Linked DNA regions of Arabidopsis thaliana. The protein of the gene in region 1 interacts with the protein of each later gene in a biochemical or structural test. Each region holds a gene or a part of one and is shown in the gene's direction. Other genes may lie near its edges.

Region 1 (11,800 bases):
TAAGTCAAGTGACATGATCCAAAGTCCGGTTAGTTTTCCTATCGTTTCGTAAATCTAGTCTAAAACAAAACAGAATAAAAAAAAGACTGAAAAACTAAAGTGCTAAATTCACATAATGATCAGAAAACAAGTTGAACTTGTGAAATCGCTAACGATCAATGACTAAGTCAAGTGACAGGATCCAAAGTCCAGTTAGTTTTCTATCGTTTTGTAAATCTAGTCTAAAACAAAACAAAAAAAAAAGACTAAAACACTAAAGTGCTAAATTCACATAACGATCTGAAAACAAGTTGAACTTGTGAAATCGCTAACGATCAATGACTAAGTCAAGTGACAGGATTCAAAGTCCGGTTAGTTTTCCTATCGTTTTGTAAATCTAGTCTAAAACAAAACAAAAAAAAAGACTAAAAAACTAAAGTGCTAAATTCAAATAACGATCTGAAAACAAGTTGAACTTGTGAAATCGCTAACGATCAATGACTAAATCAAGTGACGGGATCCAAAATCCGGTTAGTTTTCATATCGTTTTGTAAATCTAGTAGAAAATTAAAAAAAAAAAAAAAAAAAAAACTTGTCTAAAAATAAGAAGTGAAAATTTAAAAACGTAATAAGGAAACTCACCTGAAATCGTATTGGAATTTGATGTAACGTGGACTCTTTTCCTGATCTGATACCTCTCCAAGTCGTCTTCTCTCAGTAATCTCACGAATCTTCACCGTAGTCCTTTGTTCTCTATACTCAAAGCAAATTCCAAAATAGCCCTTGTATGACATCATCCAAAATAGCCGTTGTGTGACATCATCACAAAATAACCGTTGTATGACATCATCATAAATAATCTCCGACGAAGAAAATTCCTCCATCTCGTTGTAAATTTCAGGTCATGTTCTTTCAAATTCCGGCCACAACTTCATCACCGTAACGTTGAATCTCTTATAATCCCAGATTCACCTTTAAACACCTCCTTGCCATCTCTAATGATCGACTAAAACTTGGTCGGAGAAAAATAAAATCAGACCCGCAGAAGAGATACGAACGAACGAACTCACCGAATAATTCTCAAAGCGAGAATGAGATTCATAACGGCTCTTCGATATAACTTGCTCAAGAAGAAACTCAAGTTTTTAAAAGCAGAAGAAGAAGAAATAGCACTTTAGGGTTTTGCTCTTCGGAGGTTGAGAACTTTGATCCTTAAGATGAGATTAGTATAGTATTTATAACGACGGTTATCACCGGAAAAAAGGAAATTTAACTTTGATAAAGAATTTTAAAAATAAAATAAAAAGGAAATTCTGAGAACGCAAAAAAAGGAAGAGAATATTACACTCTAAGACACTTTTCTCAAACAATTTCCGAGATACGACACTTTCAAAATACAAGGCACTTCTAATATAAAAATTGTCCATTTTACCCTCAAACCAATTTCGGTTTAATTCTCTAATTTTAATTTCTATACGAAAATCAATTTGTAAGAAACCTCTCTTTCTCACCCAATCCCTCACGACGACTTTACAATTTCTGTTTGTTTCCCTTTTCTAATAGATGGTTCATGCTTCTCTTTGGCGATTTCGCTTTCAAATAATCCATTGGCATCTTCGTAATTGTTGCTTTCTCACTTCTCAATGTCAATACACATCGATTTCTCCTCCCAATACCGTTTCAATTTCCTCGTACTACTCTCTTACGACTGACAATGATCAATCCTTCTTCCATTACTTCCACCATCTTCTTCGATTATGCGTGACGGCTCAACAATGCAGGTAAGTGCATGCCCAAATAATTTTATCCGATTTCATCTTCTGTTCTGGGTCATTAGCTGCGAATCTCATATTTGTTTACTTTCGGTGAGGACTCGTCCTCGATGCCTGTAACGTCTTTGAGATTGTTTCTCTTGTTTTGTTGTCGGATTTGCATTTGTGGAATAATGGTCAAAGAAAAATGAACGATGATGTACTTTGAATTGGCGTTTGAATTGGTGATTATTGTTCATGTATAAACTTGTGTATTGAAATGAAACAACCCCGTAAGTCATTAGATGACCACATGGACTAGACCGCTTGGACAGTCATCAATGGACACCTGTGTCTTTGATTTGCTTTAAATATGTTTTATTGGTCGGTAAAATTACCATTTTTTGTATGAGTTTAGTGTTTGTTTTTACGGTTTCAGATTTAGTGGAGAAAGATCATGGGTTGAGGGTTTGAGTTTAATTTTAGGGTAAGTAAATTAGGATTTAGTGCAAACCGTTAAGGGTAGAGGGTTTACACACTTGTATGAACCATTTTTGAATATAATCATAAGAATATCACCATATGAATGATTCTATATTTTACATCTCTTAGATTGAAATGTCTTAGCTGCACAAACAGATACACGAAAGATGAGTAACACCAAATCTAAACATTGTTCACCAAAATCAAATACAAGAACACTTCATTAGTTGGAGAACATATATTCAAAGAGTAATGGACGGATTCCTATAGCTGACAGTCCGCAAGTACGTGTTCATATATGATATTAAGAAGTAGAGATGTATCCATGTAACATCGACCAAATGGATATAGTGTAAAACATGACTGTGTATCCACCTAGCATCGAACAAATGGATAAACATTAACTTTGGTGTATAATGGATATGCTTAGTAAACAAGATTCCGTATGAACACATTTGAAATGGACACATTATTATGGATCTGTAAGAATAACAAATGCAGAGAAAAGAATACGTGAAAGAAAGCATGTTAATAAGATTTTGGGTTTTAGTTGGTATGGTTTTGTCTTTATATGAAAGCATGTTTGATGGGTCTCGTTCTTTTGTGTAAGTAATGTATTGTTATTGTGGATACTCTGTTGAATAAGAAAAAGACGCATGATTTGTTTTGACTAAGTTGTGATTCTTGCATCATCATGACACTCTTTTTCATTCGATAAAAAATTGATGAACGCTCTACATATGAATCATTTGTGTTCAAGTGTTTGTCATGTTTCACCATTACTCCACATGTTAAAGTTTAATTGGACAAGTTATAATGGATACAAACTATCATTAACTAATTGGATTTTGAGTGTTGCTATTTGAAAGCAATGTCTACATATTGTTCTTGGGGCTTGGAGACCTATAGGATTATTAGTTTATACATAATGAAATCGTGTTGGATGCTTTGATAGTTTGTGTCCATGAAAACTTGTCCAACAAGATGTGACCATGTGGAAATGATGTATTCTCATGTGCGAAGTAAAGTGCTCTTAGCTTAGAGGTTCAACGAGACATCAATTTATCAAACTAGAATCAAATGGTACCAAACAAGCTGATCATATGGATATGAAATTCAATACTGGAATTTGCTAATCTGGTGCTCCATGGAATAGAACAGAGTAACGAGGACCTCGCTTCTCCGTAACCCCGTAATATCGAGGTTACTCCGAACAATTTTTGTTCTCACGGAATCTCTTCCATGTACGCTGCCATTTCTTCTTCTTTTTCGGGAGAGAGTTCAAATTCTCAGGTGGAATTTCAAAATCCAAATTAAGTAAGTCGAGTAACGTCCCACGTTACGTTATCACCGCCTCTCTCGTCGCCTTCTTGCTACAGATCTGAAACAAAGGAGAGTAAGGAAAGAGGAACTTTCGATCTGCAACCGATCTCATCGTCTTCACAAGCACAATTTCGCTAATATGAATCAGATATTTACACAATCTAACAAAACTCTAAATTCTATTCGTAGAATTGAAGAATCATCGCAAAACCTGGATCGATTGGTTGTAAGATTGAGGGAACAAAAATTTTCTTCTTTCACCTCTAGATGTTATTGTCTGATACACTCAAGCTTCCGTCGTTAGTCACAAGCGCTGCCGCTCCGAAACCAATCGAATAAGCCTAATCGTCACTTAAATCTAGAGAGGCTTCTCTGTAAAGGGAAATATAGAAGCTACACGATTTTGACAAAGTCTCTCATGTTTGATTTTGCAAGGAAAGACTGAAAGATGAAGAAAGAGATAGATAAAGAAAGAAAAGAAGAGTCGATGAAGAAAAAAGAAGTAGACGATGAAGAAGACGAAGAAAAAAAGTACAAATAGAGAAAGAATATTCATTATACTTTTTTGAGTAATTAAATTATATATATAATCTGATAATAGTTACAACTTCCATCCAACGACCCACTCATCATATACCAACTTCCAAACGCTAAAGTATTTTCGTTTTCACTTTTAGGGGCAAATTTGTCATAAATTCGATGAAAAAGTTGAAAAAATGCCTCATCTCTGCAAAGTGCCTCAAATGGAATAAAATTTTCTAAAAGTGCCTAAACTTGTCACATTCCTAAAAAGGAAATCACTCAGTATTTGAGCACGTGAGTGTCACGTGCTTACAAGTTTATTATTTTCCGTCGCCTCAAATTTTATTATTTTCGCTTCGCCGACGTATTTCTCTCTCTTCCGTCTAGTCTAGCTCTCCGATCATGTGGGTGACGAATACCGTACTTCTATATCGACCCAATTCTATGAACCGATTAACCTTTTCTTACCCGACCCGACTCGCCCACTCTCGTAAAGCCTCTTCCTTTTCCCGTTTCTTTCGGTCTTCAAAGAGGAAGAAGCGGGTTACGACATTGTCGACGAAGAAACCAGGTTCAGCTTTCTCACCTCCATTGACTTACCAATCTCTTTGCCAATGTTTATCTGTTTGAAATATTCTAACTTTATTCAAAATTTTAACAGATGACGATCACGAGATATCGCCAGTTCCGCCGGAGAAATTCTCCGCTGATTTGGGATGGTTATCGGCTTTTCCTCATGTATCAGTTGCTTCTATGGCCAATTTTCTCTTTGGTTATCACATTGGGTAATAATATAGCCAATTCACTGTTGCCAAATTTGTGAAGTAACAGTCGTTGTTGTTTGTTTCACTGGCCTAGTTTGATTTCTATACCAGAAGATTAATCTCTGTTCGTGTAGTAGTGTTAATGCTTGGTTGTGTTACAGAATTCGAAAAAAAGTTTCATTTTGACATTGCTGGTGAGAAACAGCTTCAATTTGAGCTTACAAAGATGTTGATTAGATTGTTTTTACAGAGTGTTGATTTGTCCCCGTCTTGACAATTTGTTAGCTTCCAGTGAGAAGAATATGAGTTAGTCAGGTTGATCTGGATTAGTTTTTCGAAAGCTTAGTACTTATAATACTATCAGTTTGTTCTTGCAGAGTGATGAATGGCCCCATCGTGTCTATTGCGCGTGAACTTGGGTTTGAAGGCAATTCTATTCTTGAGGGTCTTGTTGTGAGCATATTTATTGCCGGTGCATTTATTGGTAGCATAGTCGCCGGTCCACTAGTTGACAAGTTTGGCTACCGACGCACCTTTCAGATTTTCACGATACCCCTCATTCTTGGTGCCCTTGTGAGGTAATATCTTGTTACTAAGGTGAATCTTGATTTCGTTATGTTAGTAACAATTCCATGATGATGTTTTAAGTTGTGAGGTAGCAGCATAACTAAATTTTACTTTTTCTCTCAGTGCACAAGCTCACTCCTTGGATGAGATCTTATGTGGAAGATTTCTTGTTGGTCTTGGTATTGGCGTCAACACAGTTCTTGTTCCAATATATATATCCGAGGTAATCTAATATGTGATTCCTTTTCAACTTCATGTTTTAACTATTTGGCTTCTTCTGCTGTAAGATCTAGGACATTTCTTAAAATTGATCCTATGTACTCTCAGACTCTCAGTACAATAAGTTGTGGTTTAGCATTCTTTTGCTTAGCATATTTTGCATTTCATATGTTCGGCTGAAGAGTCTTGTTACTTCTGATATTAAGCCAACCATTTTTATTCTATAGGTTGCTCCGACGAAATACAGAGGTTCCCTTGGAACTTTATGTCAAATTGGCACTTGTCTCGGGATAATCTTTTCTCTTCTCTTAGGGATTCCTGCAGAAGATGACCCTCATTGGTGAGCTTCATTTAGCTATCTATACATTTCACTCTTCACTTCATTCTCCTCATGTATACTACTGTTCAGGTGGAGGACAATGCTCTATGTAGCGAGTATGCCTGGTTTTCTTCTTGCACTTGGTATGCAATTTGCAGTAGAAAGTCCCCGTTGGCTCTGTAAGGTATAAGTCGCCTCTTTTAATCATGAGGAAGCATTGATTTTCCATGTTGAAATCGTGTCTCATGATACTTGTTTAGGTTGGACGACTTGATGATGCCAAAGTAGTGATAAGAAACATCTGGGGAGGATCTGAAGTCGAGAAAGCTGTAGAAGATTTTCAGTCGGTTATGAAGAATAGTGGCTCCAACTTAAATAGCAGATGGCTGGAACTCCTTGATAAACCACATTCACGAGGTCATGTTAAGGTTGCTTTTAATGTTAGTTCTAACTTCTAAGGGTGTTATATTATACCATAAATCAGAAACTGAAAACATTCAAGTTTAAGAATAACCTTTTCCAGGACTTTGATCTAAGAAACTGAGAATATATAACTTCATACATGAAAAATCTATGTAGCTAAATTGTATGTCTTGTTGATATAATGGTTGCAGTTGCATTCATTGGGGGCTCCCTTTTTGTCCTACAGCAATTCGCGGGCATAAATGGCGTTCTTTATTTCTCATCTTTAACATTCCAAAATGTTGGAATCACGAGTGGTGCTCAAGCAAGTCTATATGTTGGAGTCACAAATTTTGCAGGTTCTCAAGTCTCACCTATATCAACTTTAAATTTAGATGATTGTTTTTTTCTACTGTTTCCATCACAATGTCCCTTTTCTGAACTGTTGGGTCTAATAGGTGCTCTGTGTGCGTCTTATTTGATTGATAAGCAAGGAAGAAAGAAGCTTCTTATCGGTAGCTACTTGGGAATGGTAAATATCTTTTTCTTTTATCACATAAACTCTTTTGCTTTTCACTGCTTTAGCTTATTTTGATTGAATTGATTTGGTGTCACAGGCAGTCTCTATGTTTCTTATTGTTTATGCTGTTGGTTTCCCCTTGGATGAAGATCTGAGCCAGAGTTTGTCAATACTTGGAACACTCATGTAAGTAGCTTGAAGTCCAGCAATTACTAGTCTCCTTTTCTCAGCTCATATAGTACCCAAAAAAAGACAGAAACGTATCATATGTTTGGTCCTGTTACAGGTATATATTCAGTTTTGCAATTGGAGCTGGTCCTGTAACAGGTCTCATCATCCCTGAGCTAAGCAGCAACAGAACGCGTGGAAAAATCATGGGTTTCAGCTTCTCTGTACATTGGGTATGTGTTTTTTTAGTTTTCCCATAAATCATTTTATAACCTTTTGAAGTTTGAAGAATGACGAAGCAAATGTTCTTCAGGTCTCCAACTTCTTGGTTGGTTTGTTCTTCCTGGATCTGGTGGAGAAATACGGGGTTGGAACGGTCTATGCCAGCTTTGGCTCAGTATCATTGTTGGCAGCGGCATTCTCACACCTCTTCACGGTGGAAACAAAGGGTCGATCACTAGAAGAGATCGAACTGTCTTTGAACTCCAGAGACGACCTGAGTTAAAAAAAAAAACGGTATAAGTGAAAGAAAGAGAGAAAGACCTCAAAATTTTTATCAGTTTTTCATCAGTTGTTGTAAAATGTAAATAGCCTGGAAATTAGCTTGTGAGAAATCTTGTGAGTATATAGATATACTTAGGTATGTAAGAAAAGATTTATAAAAAATGCGAAAGAAAGTTGACAAGGATTACACAAAATACATACTTATGAAAGGTTTGTGCCTATTTACAAGTGGTAAGACGTTCTTGATTTATAGCTTAATGTAGTAACATTGTCTCGATCTAGACTATACATGCTTACCATGTCATGGTGAAAATCGTGAGTCCATAACTCATGATCTCTATATATTCATATTCATATATAATACTGGTTTGCACGTCTGCAAACAAAGATAAAGATTTCTGATAATATTAAATTTATCCCAAGAATATTGAATATAAAGATGCTAGCTGGTTCTCTGAAAAAAAAAAGCGTACACAGCTTGTCATTGAATTTATAACCTATACGAATATGAGGCTCGTAGAAACAACTCTTAAGGAATTGTGAGAGAATGTTACTTTTAGCCGATCAAAAAATTTGTAACATAAATACACTGACAAGATATTTGTATTATAATAAGTTTTCGAAATTTGAACACAATTCTATGCATCATGCTTTTTCTTCTAACAAGAAGAAGAATTTAAACACAATTATATATTTAACGCGCCAAAATCGCGTGTGAAGTCTCTCTATTAGTCAACGCTATATCTTGAAAGGGTCTCGAGACTCTCCAGCCATTTTATTCTGCCTTCCTCTCTATATTTAGAAGAACAAAAATTGAAAAAAAAATCCTTAGAGAGAGGAAAAAAATTTAGAGGAAAATCTTCTAATTTGGTTTTAATTCTTCGTGATTAATCGCTAATCCAGAGTGATTAAGAAATTAAAACCCCTTGAGGAACAAAGAAGACGTTTGGGTGAAATTAAAAGCGCGACGACGAGGACAATGCCGAGCAAGCTTAAAAAAGCGATTGGTGCGGTTAAAGATCAGACAAGCATTAGCCTCGCCAAAGTTGCTAACGGAGCCACCGGAGGCGGCGATCTCACGACTCTCGAAGTTGCGATCTTGAAAGCTACGAGCCACGACGAGGAAGTCCCAATCGACGATCGACTCGTAACAGAAATCCTCGGAATCATATCCTCCAAGAAATCTCACGCCGCCTCTTGCGCCGCCGCGATCGGTCGCCGTATCGGGCGTACACGGAATTGGATCGTCGCGCTCAAATCCCTAGTCCTCGTCCTCAGGATTTTCCAAGACGGTGATCCTTATTTCCCTCGCGAAGTCCTCCACGCCATGAAACGTGGCGCCAAAATCCTCAATCTCTCCAGCTTCCGCGACGATTCGAACTCGTGCCCTTGGGATTTCACTGCTTTCGTCCGTACATTCGCGCTTTACCTCGACGAACGTCTCGATTGCTTCCTCACCGGAAAATTACAGAGACGGTACACAAACCGAGAACAAACCGGAAGAATCAGCACCAACTCAACAACAAGATCCCGGTTTAATCCCAAAGCCGGAATTAAATCCCACGAACCGGCGGTTCGAGATATGAAACCGGTAATGCTTCTTGACAAAATCACGTATTGGCAAAAATTACTAGACAGAGCAATCGCGACGCGGCCGACGGGAGACGCGAAAGCCAACAGGCTCGTGAAAATGTCGCTTTACGCCGTCATGCAAGAGAGTTTTGATCTTTACAGAGACATTTCCGATGGATTAGCGCTTTTGTTAGACAGTTTCTTCCATCTGCAATACCAATCTTGCATCAATGCGTTTCAAGCTTGTGTTCGAGCTTCGAAACAGTTCGAAGAGCTTAACGCATTCTACGATCTTTCCAAATCGATCGGTATAGGAAGAACATCGGAGTATCCTAGCATTCAAAAGATCTCTTTAGAGCTTCTTGAGACATTGCAAGAGTTTTTAAAAGATCAATCGTCGTTTCCAGCGAGCTCAGGGTTGTATCCGTCACCGAATAGTTTTCTTCCTCCGCCTCCATCGTCCAAAGATTCAGCGGTTTCAAGCTCGCTTGATTTTGGGGATTCCACGATTGATACGTCGGAGAGGTATTCAGATTACGGGTCGTTTCGTAGTACTTCGTTGGAGGATTTGATGAGCAGGACTGAAGCAGGGACTAGTAGTCCTCCAATGTCTTGTCATTCTGAGCCATACGGAGGAGGACGAGATGATCCTAATGGGAATAATTTTGATACGGTTTCGACTAAATCGCTTCCCAATAATCCCTCTGTTTCTGCTTCCAATCTCATATTAGACCTATTGTCATTGGATGACGTAAGTAACACGGCAGAAGCAGAAGATGTTGAAGACAAGAAGAAGCAAGACGATTCAAAGGCAGAGACTTTCGATCCTTGGGAGGCGTTGATGTTGAGAGATGATCCGAAGAAGAAGATAGAAACGATTGAGGAGGAACCTTCAACCGCTGAGGACCATCAGAGAGATTCAGGGAATTGGTTGCTTGCGTTAGAAGAAACTGCTACGCAGGTGCAGGGTAATAACTCGATGGCGATAGTACCGTTCGGGTTAGATGATCCGATGCCTGCGTTTCAAGCCGCCACGGACCAATACAACCCATTCTTGGAAGAACCAGTTGCGCAGTTAGCTACAGCCGGAGAACCAATGATCACGTTCGGTGGCTTGGCTTTGACAGGGTTTCAGCCAGAACCGACATTTCAGGTGAACGTTCCTGATGATTTTGAGCCGTCTTCTACACCAACATTTAAGGCCACGGAGACTTTGCCTATGAAATGTGACCCGTTTACAACATTTGAGAGTTTTGGGTTCGGAGAGACATTTTCAGAAAATGGAGGGGTAAATCAGCAATCTGTATTGCAAGAACAGCAGATATGGTTGCAGAACCAGAAAAAGATCATAGCCAAGCACTTGAGTTGATACAAAATTTATTTGGCTAGACAGAGGTTGAGATGTTTCTTTGAGTTTTTCTTTTGTTACATTGTCAACTTAACTCTTAACTCATTTTTCCATAACTTAGAGAAATGTGAAATTCAGAAATTCTTTGATTAAAAAGATATTTCCGCGGATTCTATCTTCGTACTTGCATTCCTGTGTATACACGATGTATTTTGTGTGTCTTGTATCATAATCACATTGAGAATTTGATTTTCAAGTATATCTCAACGAATAACACTCAAATATCTAAGTTCACCTTCTGAATACATTTACGTACACGGTACACTTTGGGATTTACTTTTGAATATGTTATTTTCTTTGAAGTTTTTGGGAATTGAAATTTAGCTAGCATTTTGATCATCGTGATGATGTTATGTAGCATTTAGTTTATGTATTTTTGAAAATATTTATGTATTCATTTTTAGTCTATATTAATATAACAAGTTTTCACATAATCACACAACAGATGCATGCATCTAATGTGTGTGTATTAGATGAATGTATCCGATATGCGTATTAGATGCGTATATCTGGCAAACAATTTTTTGCATTTTATTTTCCGATATGCATGTATTTATGTGTTATGATATGCATCCGTGATAATGCGAATGATAAAATGAATGTATATCGGTGGAAGATAACGAAGAGGGAAGCCAAATGGAATAAATTAAGGAGGTCCACTAGTAGGTCAAGTTGGCTTTGTGGTGTCGATAACATGAGATTGACCAAAGCTGTAGCTTGACCCCAAGGCCACGAGGGAGAAAGATCTACCAAACCAAAATCATCATAACACATCTCTTTCTAGTATATAGCCCACCACAAATATTAATTCTTTTAATAGTTATACACCACAAATTTTATCCCCCATTGGCCATTGACTAGAGTCGTTTTCGTCTTTGACAGTGGTAAAAGCTTCTGTATATGTGAATTTAGGATTCCACCTTTCTTAGGTTTCTCATTACAAGTTGATTTAACTTCTTGACTTCTCAAGTTGTTGTTTTGTAATTTAGTAAAAATTTGCTTACAAGTCATACATGATTGAATATAACACCGGCTGCTAAGCCTATTTTTCTATCATAAGTTTCGCTTTCGAGTCAAAATGTTAGTCAACATGAAATAAAACACGTTTCTTTATTTGTTTTGCTTATTGATCAACTTTAAAATAGTCCCATAAAATAGCAAATATTAAGAAATTTCAAATCAATACATTAGTTGCCAAAACCCGTCTGTGATATTATACTTTTTGAGGCTCCATAATAATGACGTGAGATTTGTTTGTGACTGAGGAAGTGGAAAATAAAGTTAAGCATGTCTTACTAT
Region 2 (11,962 bases), on another chromosome or scaffold:
ATCTTGAAATTTGTCTTAGCTCTTATAATTCAATACTTTGTCTCTAGAGTAGTTGTGAATTGAAGATCCTTTCAGTCAGCATTGAAATTATTTGATATGGGTTGTATATATGAAACTCTAAGAAAATGGAATCTGTATATATACATGTTTGTTAGTGAAACATAATTTGTTGATTTGTTTCTTGTGATAAACAATTATAGGTATACTTATCTGTGGTTGCAATTTGTAAACGGACACGGGTCACATAAGAACTATTATATTATTGCTGGTGGGTCAGTACTATTTCTATGACGTTTGTCAGAAAAAGATGAATAGATTGGATGTGTACTAGTCCATTAGGTGTCAATCCTTTTTCCGTTGCCAATGGTGGCTTCTGTTTCACACAATCATATAGTTTGATTTATAGTTATATTCTCTTGGTTCTTTTGCTAATGGTATCAGTTTCACTATTGGTTGAACTTTCGTGCAGTATTCGTAGACGCGCTCTTGATTTGCTATATGGGATGTGCGATGTGTCAAATGCAAAGGATATAGTTGAAGAGTTGTTGCAGGTAAGTCTTTGACCTTCCCTCATGATTTGTGAAGTTTAACAGAAAGGAAGGATTAAGTTGGTAGTGTTTAAGCTTACATGGAACCCAAAAATACATTGCAGTATCTTAGCACAGCAGAATTTTCTATGCGGGAGGAATTATCACTTAAAGCTGCTATTCTTGCTGAGAAGTTTGCTCCTGATCTTTCATGGTAAAGAGAACTCGACAAGAAGTATATGTACATTTTTTCATGCACACTATAGAGACATGTGCTGTGCCCTTTAGATCCTTACACAAGCAATTGGTCAAAGATGTTAATTTTGATGTTCTCAGGTATGTAGATGTGATCCTTCAGTTGATCGACAAGGCTGGGGATTTTGTTAGCGATGACATTTGGTTTCGTGTGGTTCAGTTTGTAACAAATAATGAAGACCTGCAGGTTCTTAAAATTGTTAGGATAAATATATTGTTTATCCTATTTATGACATTCAAAAGTTGCTTACAAATTTCTTTGATCCGACAGCCTTATGCGGCATCAAAAGCAAGAGAATATATGGACAAAATTGCAATCCATGAGACCATGGTGAAGGTTGTACAGTCTCGCTTCCCATAACAAATTTTCTTTTAATTATAATATAATTAAATTGTGGAAGTGGAGTTACTACCTTGCTACACATTCTGATTTATCCATATTGTTGGCAAAGTACAATATTAACAGTGCTTAGTATCAACAATAAATATAATTTCTTTCGGAATTTCAGGTCAGTGCTTATATTTTGGGGGAGTATGGTCACCTTTTAGCTAGACAACCTGGATGCAGTGCAAGTGAACTCTTTAGCATCTTACATGAGAAGCTTCCTACAGTATCGTAAGGACAACACAAATGTTGAATTGCGCTCTTCTTGTCTTTGGGTATGTCTTAATTGCTTTTTTTCGTTTTTTTTCTCAGGACTCCCACCATTCCTATTCTTCTTTCTACATATGCAAAGCTTCTTATGCACGCTCAACCCCCGGATCCAGAACTGCAAAAAAAAGTTTGGGCTGTATTTAAGAAGTGAGACTTGCTAACTTTGTTGTCCTTCCTCAATGTTTTGCTTGTCATCATATGTACTGTCTTTTTTGGTAACCAAATGAAGTTTCCTAAATGAGTTTTGTTTTCGCAGATATGAGAGTTGTATCGATGTGGAGATACAACAGAGGGCAGTTGAATATTTTGAATTGAGTAAAAAAGGGCCTGCCTTTATGGATGTATTGGCTGAGATGCCAAAATTTCCGGAGCGCCAGGTTTGTGAAATTATTTTATGATTCTATGAAAGTTACTTTGACGGGAAGTTTGTGCTAAACGACTTTGATGCTGGATTTTTTTTCCGTGTCTCTTCCATAGTCTTCATTGATTAAAAAGGCAGAAAACGTTGAAGATACCGCAGACCAGAGTGCCATCAAACTTAGAGCACAACAACAGCCTTCAAATGCTATTGTTTTGGCTGACCCACAGCCTGTTAATGGGGCACCACCACCTTTGAAGGTTCCAATTTTAAGTGGAAGCACGGTGAGTACTTCTCTTTCTAGGCCCCAATTGACAAAACATTTTTGATGTGCTTGCCTTTATATACTACATACTTCTATCTTATTATCTCTGACAGTCTGTTTTTCATTGCATGTCTAGCAGGACCCTGAGTCAGTGGCTCGATCTCTCTCACATCCCAATGGAACTTTAAGTAATATAGATCCACAAACTCCATCACCTGATCTCCTTAGTGACCTACTCGGTCCTCTTGCAATAGAGGCTCCACCTGGAGCTGTCTCATATGAACAACATGGTCCCGTAGGGGCAGAAGGAGTTCCAGATGAAATTGATGGTTCCGCCATTGTACCTGTTGAAGAGCAAACAAATACAGTGGAGGTAATCTTTTCTTATTCCTTTGCTTTCTTTGGCATAGTAGGTGTTAGCATTATACTTCTACTTTTGCTAGCTCATTATTTCCCTAGTTTTTTTTTTAACTATAGCCATATTTTTTTCTGTTTCGTCTTTTTGTATTTATTACTTGGAAATGGTATGTAACGTTTACTTAGGTGGAATGCTACCTGAGATGTTCTGTTTCACAATTCAAGATCCATAATAAAAGAAACCGAGCCATTTTTGTACTCCATAATATATTTGCATGCTTGTATTTTTTTCTTATACTGTTTTGTTTTCTTATACAGCTTATCGGAAATATTGCTGAGAGATTTCATGCTTTATGTTTGAAAGACAGTGGTGTCTTATACGAGGATCCTCATATCCAGGTTTGTTTTTTTCTAGTTTCTGCTTTTATTTATTCAAGTATGCAGCAGACAAGCCTCCGAGCTTTCTTATGTTCCCATTTTGTTGATTGTTTGTATTCCTCAGATTGGCATCAAAGCTGAATGGAGAGGACACCATGGGAGACTTGTTCTCTTCATGGGAAACAAGAATACTTCTCCACTTACATCAGTTCAAGCTCTGATACTACCCCCTGCCCACTTAAGACTGGATCTGTCTCCAGTACCTGATACAATTCCTCCTCGAGCACAGGTACTTTTGTTTGTTGATTTATTTAAGTTTGACTACTCAATCCGTCATTTTCTACTCATTTATGCATAATGTACTAAGTGTTGCAATTTTTTTCATGGTTATAGGTACAATCTCCGCTTGAAGTGATGAACATCCGCCCTAGTAGGGATGTTGCAGTTTTGGATTTCTCCTACAAGTTTGGTACAAACGTGGTACGTACTGCAACAGTACTTAGCTTGTTTTGGTGAATGGTATATTTAGTATCTGTGACTCTACCTGATATGCTGGATCTTTTATAGGTCAGTGCCAAATTACGCATCCCGGCAACCTTGAATAAGTTTCTTCAACCTCTACAATTGACATCTGAAGAGTTCTTCCCTCAATGGAGAGCAATCTCAGGGCCACCCTTGAAACTTCAGGAAGTGGTATGTATCTCCACAGCTTCTCTGATCAAATATCAAACTAAAAGTATTTGAGTAGCGCAGGATAGTAGTCAAAGGCTTCTAAGAATTTTCTTTTCAATGAAATTAGTGAATTAGCTTTCGCTACAACACTTATAGAGAACTTCCAACACTTCTACACATGCTCGTTAATGCAGCATTACTTTTATGCGTTATATAATCTGATACTGCAATCTCTTTCAGGTAAGAGGTGTAAGACCTCTAGCTCTTCCGGAAATGGCAAATCTGTTCAACAGTTTTCATGTGACGATATGCCCTGGGCTTGTAAGTAGTTGTTTACGATCTCAAACCTTCATTCCTCATGCACACATGTATACTTCAAACTTAACTTGTATTGTTTTTTGTCGTAGGATCCAAACCCTAATAATCTAGTGGCAAGCACAACCTTCTACTCTGAAACTACAGGAGCCATGCTCTGTTTGGTGAGATTTCACCAAGTTTCACTTCCTGGTTTTGGCACTTGCCACTCCAATTTCTAAAATTTCTTAAGACTTATAGTAATGACGTGTGACATTTTCCTTGGTTTGCGATTTTCAGGCAAGAATTGAAACAGACCCAGCGGACAGAACCCAACTACGATTGACAGTAGGCTCGGGAGATCCTACCCTTACATTTGAGTATGATATATCTGCCTCTTAATCACAAACCCAACCTCGATCACAGATTTTCTTCATTTGCAATTGTTGACCCCTTTTATCTACAGGTTAAAAGAATTCATCAAGGAACAATTAATTACTATTCCAATGGGATCTCGAGCTCTAGTTCCAGCAGCAGGTCCAGCACCATCACCAGCAGTTCAACCGCCTAGCCCAGCGGCTTTAGCTGATGATCCAGGAGCTATGCTTGCTGGCTTACTTTAAATTCATTGGGATAAAAGATTACTTGCACATGTCGAAAAGTTTGTTTTCTGTTATTGTAGAATGTAATGGCGAAAATATGGAATGATGGGAGAGTAAATGTAGAGCCAAGGGAGAGAAAAAAGCTAGTTTTGATTATATTTGTGCCGTTTATCCAAAGCGGGCGGGTTGCGTTAGGTAAGAAATTTTGCATTCATTCTGAACATTTGTATTGTGAGGTCAGTGGTTGTATCAGCTTGTTCTTGTGCCTATATATTTTCAATCTGTTTCTCCATGAGTTTTCTGATGGGAGGTCTGTTTTTTCGCACCAGCCTTCACATTGAGAGATTTTAATGTTGTCATAAAGGGGGGAAATTGCAAAAACACATCCAACGCATAGCATTTCACCTGTAAAAACCTGATCTAATTTGAGGTGTGAATAGAGTGGGGACTTGGCCTTGGTGGGACATTCAACCGACATATATACAACCAGATTTTTACTATTACTTTGAAGAATATAATTGAAAGAAAATTTTTTTTTTACTATTTTTAATTTTCTTACAAACTGCTTATGGATTTAAAAGCTGTTTTATCAATTTTTGCATGATTTTTTTTTGTTTTTACTACATAATTTGTAATTGACAAAAGTATGATTTTTTTATATTACTATATCATTTGTAATTTTGCAAATAAAAAAAAATATAAGAACCCTAGATCCGGGGCTTGTGAAACAAGAGTGATTAAGCAAAATTTGAGTAAGTCTGACTTTTGCAAGTTTGCTTCACCAACATCAATGTCGCTCAAGTTGAAGAAGCAACTTCTCTTAAAGTATCGAATACCCTAAAATTTGTCATGCCTTGAAGAAAAACTCAACCGAGATATTGGAGCTGTTCGAAATACCTAAGAAATCAGCCGATGTTGCTAACGCAAAGGGACAATATCTTCCATAAAACTAAAAATGTTCAATAAGCAGGGCCGACCCAAATCTAAAGCCCAGCAAGCTGATGCTTTATCATCACAATCATATAAAAGCCTTGTAGTTTAATGGTTGGTGCTTCCATTAGTTATATAAGTTTACGAGTTCGATACTCAAACTGCCAAACAACAACATCCTAGGAGCATACGCTATCGCCGTCACTGCTTTTCTAGCTCAACAATTCGTCCTATTCATCGTCTTGTAGATTATGATCTTGTTATGAGACACATTTAGTATTTCAAAAACGAGAGTAGTGACAATACTTTCCTATTCACCAGAGTAATTTGGTTGCAATGATTCTAGCAAAATTGTTATCTGAAATATAGAGTATCTAAAATCTTTATTCAAAAGATTTCATAATACATTGAGTAAAATTATAAAATGCTCATAACAAAAAATAATCAAATCAGCACTGCGTATAAACCATTTGTTTCGTTCCCACTAATACCAACAAATACCATGTCTGACGAAAAAAAAAAAAAAAAAGTTGGGACCAGCTAAACCATTGCATGACCTGACCTGACCCGAATTCATAACCGGATTTTCTCATGGTACATTTTTTTTGTTAAGGATTTTCTCATGGTACATTGAATTACAACTGAATGCATTGACCGCGACAGAAAACAGTCATTTTAAAAATAAATGAAAAAGTGAAACCAGAAACAGCAGTAAATAAATATTACCCAAAAAGGCAGAAGGATACACTTTTTAACAAAATATTACGCAAACTTATAAATCCTCAAATTTAGTCCAAATGTCTAGACGCGTTAATTCTGTTTTTCGACGGGTCAATTTCGGATTCCAATTTCAAAACAGACAAAAACTGAATTACACAAAATTGAATAGTCAAAGTTGTAAATAAAGAAAAATAAAAGTCGTCTCTCGTCTCTCTCCCGCAGGCGTGTCTCTCTTCTCCAAAGATCAGTCTCTCCTTTTGAATTTCTTCGATTGAAGGTGCCATTTTCCGTTTCTAGATTGGGATTTCGATCTCACCTCTCTCGAATTGCTTATGCTTCAGCTTTAGTCTGTGGTTTATCTCGTAGTTAGATCCGGTGCCGCGAGTTTGGATCTGCGCCGTGTGAGGCGGCGGAGCACGGTGGATTTGAGGATTTGGTTCAACCATGACCGGAATGAGAGGTCTCTCCGTATTTATCAGCGACGTTCGTAATTGCCAGAACAAGGAAGCGGAGAGACTACGAGTTGATAAGGAGCTCGGAAACATTCGTACATGCTTCAAGAATGAGAAGGTTACTCTCAATTCTCTCCATTCTATTTTCTATGTTTTGATTCTCATTAGAGAGGTAATTCAGTGTCGAGTATCCGCTGAGGTTTTGGTTTATTAGAGATATTGGAGATTTATCCTTCGCAGTTGCAATGCCAATGCAATCGAATGTTAGAGCTATTAGGTTGATTAGGGAGTTAGATAAGAATGTAGATGAAACAAAGATACAGTCACTGGTCACATGCCGAGTGGATAGTTTTGGAGCTTGTAGTTTCTTACTTTATCGGATTGAGGCAATAAATTTTGATTTAACACCAATTGTGAAAATAGATAGGCAGTATAATGTTGCCGTTGTATAGCTAGCTCAAATCCTTGTAGATTAGCAATTATTCTACCTTTTGAAACATCACTACTATTGCTTTCAACTTGGAATTTCATTACTGAATATATGATGACATTTAGGAACTAGAAGAAAAGAATGGTCTGGCAGTAAATTCGGTTATGTAGTGATGGTCTAAGAAATTAAATCATGGTCACGGAAAATTTTGAATAGCTCATTACGAAGTAGATTAAGCTTTGTTGCTGTAAGAACTTCTGGAGTGAAATTCTTGTTCCATCTTACACGTAGCAGAGCTGTAGCAGGCCTGTAGTGGATCCATGTGTTTCCAGTTGGACCAACATTAAACTTATTCTTTTTCGGGGTTCATGTTAGAAATGAATTAATCAAGAACTCTTTGATTACTTGACATTCTGTTTTATTTTTGCAGGTTTTGACACCATATAAAAAGAAGAAATATGTCTGGAAAATGCTTTATATACATATGCTAGGCTACGATGTGGATTTTGGCCATATGGAGGCGGTTTCTCTTATATCTGCGCCAAAGTATCCAGAAAAGCAGGTAAACCAACGTTTTGTTTGCTCAAACAAAGAAATTTTTCTTTGTAAGGCTAGGAGAAGATAATAGATGGAGGTGTTTGCTGAAATATATTCTATTGATCAAGCTGAAACAAAGAAAGTTTCATTGAAGATCACACAGTTAGATCTAGATACCATTTCATGCGTTTGCAACTTGACTTGACCTGGGAAAGTATTGCAGACAATTACTTATAAGCACGAGTTACTTAGTAACATCTTAGAAACTCTTAACCAGAACCATGCATTGTATCTCAAGGGTTTGTATTTCCAATTTATATTGTTTCATGCTCCTTAACTAATTTGCAGGTATTGAACTTTTCATCCATGATTACAGGTTGGCTACATTGTTACATCTTGCTTGCTCAATGAGAACCATGACTTTTTGAAGTTGGCAATAAATACAGTGCGGAACGATATTATTGGTCGGAATGAGACTTTCCAGTGCCTAGCACTGACCTTGGTATGTGGTCTTTTGTCCACCCTGTATTGAGATTTTAGAGCATAGTTAGGTTCTTCTGATTATAAGATGTTGTTAAATGACTGTTTTAATGGAAGTCTTTGGTACATTATGTCTTTTGTGCTCTATCATTTCACGATTCAGAGCCACTTACTTCATGAAACTGGTCCTTTCTTTCTAGCTTTCTTACCTTGCCATGCTTACGTTCTCCTGTAGGTTGGAAATATCGGTGGAAGGGATTTTGCTGAATCATTGGCACCTGATGTTCAAAAGCTACTTGTAAGTGACTCCTAAAGATGAGAGGTTATATTTTTTTCCAATATTACTAAACATATTATGTTATGGGGTCTCTTTGCTGCAGATTTCTAGTAGTTGCAGACCTCTTGTAAGGAAAAAAGCAGCACTGTGCCTACTGCGCTTATTCCGAAAAAATCCTGATGCTGTCAACGTGGATGGCTGGTGTGTATAACACTGTGGGGTTACTGGTTCTTTGATTTTACTAGTGCATCTTTCATATTCTCTTTGTCGTATACTTCCAGGGCGGATCGTATGGCACAACTTTTGGATGAACGAGATCTTGGTGTCTTGACGTCTTCTACGAGTCTTCTTGTAGCTCTGGTATCTAATAATCATGAGGCGTACTCAAGTTGTCTACCTAAATGTGTCAAAATATTAGAACGCCTTGCTAGGAACCAAGATGTTCCTCAGGAGTACACATACTATGGCATCCCATCTCCTTGGCTCCAGGTTTGACTTAACTCGGCTTATTCACTCTTGTTTAATAGCTTAAATATTCTTTAATCGCATCCTTTTCACAAATCCTGTGCATTTTAAACATTTTATGTGAAATTAGCTTATGAAAATAGAGGCTTGGCCCAGCTTTGGTGTATTTTTGTTACTCAGTTAAAGATATCGTGGATACTTATATATCTTTGGTTAGTACAGGTTAAGGCAATGAGGGCTCTTCAATATTTCCCGACCATTGAAGATCCCAGTACCAGAAAAGCTCTGTTTGAGGTTCAATATTTTCATGTGTAAATCTGTAATATATGTCTTTGAATTTCCTCTCATGGCATGGCATTTCATGGAAATTTCAGGTCCTTCAGCGAATATTGATGGGGACAGATGTTGTGAAAAATGTGAATAAAAACAATGCGTCTCATGCTGTGCTGTTTGAAGCTCTATCCCTGGTAAGTTCGTCGGATAGCTGGGGAAATGTTGATACCATGAATTTTACTAGTGGGCACCTATTTTTCTCTCTCTTCCCCTTCACCCCTGCTCAACGTCCTGTAAAGACGCATTTACTCAAAGCAGACTACTGATGTGTGCATGGACGTTTAAAATATATTTTTTGGCTTTGCTAGAGAAACTTCAAGTGTTTGAATTGCTTGCAGCTAATTGTACGATATTCTTTGTCTGTTGTTTTTCTTGTGTGAAAGTAAAATAAATTTAGATGCTCTGCTTGAAGGTTTCGCCACTATTTCTAAGAGGTTTATCATGGATAGTTGACTTAATTGTTCCTAACAGTTCTCTGGCTTAGTGTGCAACCTCCTAACTTTTTAATGTGTTTTGATATAGGTCATGCATCTTGATGCTGAGAAGGAAATGATGTCACAGTGTGTTGCTCTTCTTGGCAAGTTTATTTCTGTCCGTGAGCCCAACATCAGATATCTAGGCTTGGTGAGATCTTGCATACCACTTCCTGCATCTAAGCCTAGCTGGAGTAGTTTGTGAAGTGGTTGGTGGTTTCTCATGATGCATTTTTTGACAAAATTACAGGAAAATATGACGCGGATGCTGATGGTCACAGATGTTCAAGATATCATAAAGAAGCATCAGTCTCAGATAATCACCTCCTTGAAAGACCCTGACATCAGGTTGGTTTAGATTTGCCATCTAAGCATCAGCTTTTCTGGCTTGTGAACCCGGATCAGTATCTCGTTACTGTTCTAATTTGGAACCAGTACGACAGTTTTTCAATCATCAAATCGGTCTTACTTCTTATGATTTAATATACCGTTTTTTACTTTGTCTCTATAGTAGTTGTGAATAAGATTATTTCTGTCAGCATTAAAATTATTTGATTTGGGTAGTATATATGAAATTTTAAGAAAATGGGATCTATATTTTTTAGTGAAACATTATTTGTTGATTTGTTTTCTTGTGATAAGCTATAGGTATAATTATATGTGGTATACGGTCACATAAGAAATATTATATTATTATATTATTGGCCGGTGGGTCAGCACTATTTCGATGACGTTTGTTAGTAAAAGATGGATAAGTACCACAGTCCATTATGTCTTGATCTTATTTCCATTGCAAATGGTGGCTTCCGTTTTACAAACATATAGTTTGATTTATCATCTCTTGGTTCTTTTGCTTATGGTGTCAGATTCACTATTGGTTGAACTTTCCTGCAGTATTCGTAGGCGTGCTCTTGATTTATTATATGGGATGTGTGATGTGTCAAATGCAAAGGATATAGTCGAAGAGTTGCTGCAGGTAAGTCTTTGACCTTACTTTATATTAATATTTCTTGATTTTTAGTCTCCTTATGATTTGTGAAGTTTAACAGAAAGGAAGGATTAAGTTGTGTAGTGTTTAAGCTTACATGGAAGCTAAAAATATATTGCAGTATCTTAGCACAGCAGAGTTTTCCATGCGGGAAGAATTATCACTTAAAGCTGCTATCCTTGCTGAGAAGTTTGCTCCTGATCTATCATGGTGAGGATAACTCGATACGAAGTATATGTACACTTCATTCATGCACACAAATTTGGTTACAGTAACATGCATTATCCATTTGGTGTGACCTTTAGATCCTTGCAAATCAACTGGTTAAAGATGTTAATTTTGATGTTTTCAGGTATGTTGATGTGATCCTTCAGTTGATCGACAAGGCTGGGGATTTTGTTAGCGATGACATATGGTTTCGTGTGGTTCAGTTTGTAACAAATAATGAAGACCTGCAGGTTTATATAATTGTTAGGAAAAATATATTGTTTATCCTATTTATGACATTCAAAGTTGCTTACATATTTCTTTGACCTGACAGCCTTACGCCGCGTCAAAAGCAAGAGAATATTTGGACAAAATCGCAATACATGAGACTATGGTGAAGGTTGTACATTCTCGCTTCCCATAACAAATTCCTTATATTGCAGATAACACCTTAAGGAAGGTTTGTTTTTGTTTTACAGGTTAACTGTGGTGGTAAATTTTATCACTTGGCTGATTCTATTATTTTGAGCAAGGCTTCCTAAAGTCAGATCATTGGTCTCTCTCTCAAGTAACTTAGGTTTGAAAAAGCAGCTTCTCCAGTCAGCATCTTACCCTTCTCACTACTCAGCAAATCCACAAATAGAAACGAGTCGTTGCTTCGGAAGCCTTGTTCAAAATCAGAGTATCAGCCATGTGATAAAATTAACAACCAGAGTTAACATATAAAACTAAAACAATCCTTCCTTAAGTTGTTGTTGCTTAATTTGGGAATTTAGAGTTACTACCTTGCTACACATGCTGACAAAATCTTATCTGTATCTAAATTCTTTGCAAAATACAAATTAACAATGCTTATAATTTCTTTCGGAATTTCAGGTCAGTGCTTATATTTTGGGGGAGTATGGTCACCTTCTAGCTAGACAACCTGGATGCAGTGCAAGTGAACTCTTTAGCATCTTACATGAGAAGCTTCCTACAATATCGTAAGGACAACACAAATGTTGAATTGCGCTCTTCTCGTCTTTGGGTATGTCTTAATAGCTTTTTTTCGTTTTTTTTCTCAGGACTCCCACCATTCCTATTCTTCTTTCCACATATGCAAAGCTTCTTATGCACGCTCAACCCCCGGATCCAGAACTGCAAAAAAAAGTTTGGGCTGTATTTAAGAAGTGAGACTTGCTAACTTTGTTGTCCTTCCTCAATGTTTTGCTTGTCATCATATGTACTGTCTTTTTTGGTAACCAAATGAAGTTTCCTAAATGAGTTTTGTTTTCGCAGATATGAGAGTTGTATCGATGTGGAGATAC

The links.
Region 2: the proteins of AT1G05020 (region 1) and alpha-ADR form a complex in vitro, tested with the Arabidopsis thaliana proteins (one study listed by BioGRID).

The regions. Positions count from the first base shown.
Region 1 is NC_003070.9:1,434,046-1,445,845, reverse strand, and holds AT1G05020 (ENTH/ANTH/VHS superfamily protein), read left to right. Parts: upstream 1-8,082; 5' UTR 8,083-8,500; coding exon 8,501-10,462; 3' UTR 10,463-10,691; downstream 10,692-11,800. Other genes in the region: AT1G05035 (uncharacterized protein), read right to left, coding at 14-59, 177-221, 622-863; AT1G05030 (Major facilitator superfamily protein), read left to right, coding at 4,461-4,629, 4,720-4,843, 5,200-5,400, 5,513-5,612, 5,836-5,948, 6,018-6,111, 6,188-6,344, 6,542-6,688 and 4 more. UniProt on the Arabidopsis thaliana protein: Adaptins are components of the adapter complexes which link clathrin to receptors in coated vesicles. Clathrin-associated protein complexes are believed to interact with the cytoplasmic tails of membrane proteins, leading to their selection and concentration.
Region 2 is NC_003076.8:7,582,522-7,594,483, reverse strand, and holds the start of alpha-ADR (alpha-adaptin), read left to right. Parts: upstream 1-6,161; 5' UTR 6,162-6,457; coding exon 6,458-6,583; intron 6,584-7,325; coding exon 7,326-7,457; intron 7,458-7,808; coding exon 7,809-7,934; intron 7,935-8,147; coding exon 8,148-8,210; intron 8,211-8,292; coding exon 8,293-8,390; intron 8,391-8,470; coding exon 8,471-8,678; intron 8,679-8,876; coding exon 8,877-8,948; intron 8,949-9,028; coding exon 9,029-9,121; intron 9,122-9,509; coding exon 9,510-9,611; intron 9,612-9,710; coding exon 9,711-9,808; intron 9,809-10,354; coding exon 10,355-10,436; intron 10,437-10,569; coding exon 10,570-10,658; intron 10,659-10,800; coding exon 10,801-10,906; intron 10,907-10,989; coding exon 10,990-11,055; intron 11,056-11,080; exon of another isoform or gene 11,081-11,429; intron 11,430-11,531; coding exon 11,532-11,638; intron 11,639-11,719; coding exon 11,720-11,824; intron 11,825-11,933; coding exon 11,934-11,962. Other genes in the region: AT5G22780 (Adaptor protein complex AP-2, alpha subunit), read left to right, coding at 470-551, 653-741, 864-969, 1,054-1,119, 1,292-1,398, 1,480-1,584, 1,694-1,814, 1,915-2,079 and 9 more; AT5G22785 (uncharacterized protein), read right to left, coding at 4,640-4,768, 4,779-4,841. UniProt on the Arabidopsis thaliana protein: Subunit of the adaptor protein complex 2 (AP-2). Adaptor protein complexes function in protein transport via transport vesicles in different membrane traffic pathways.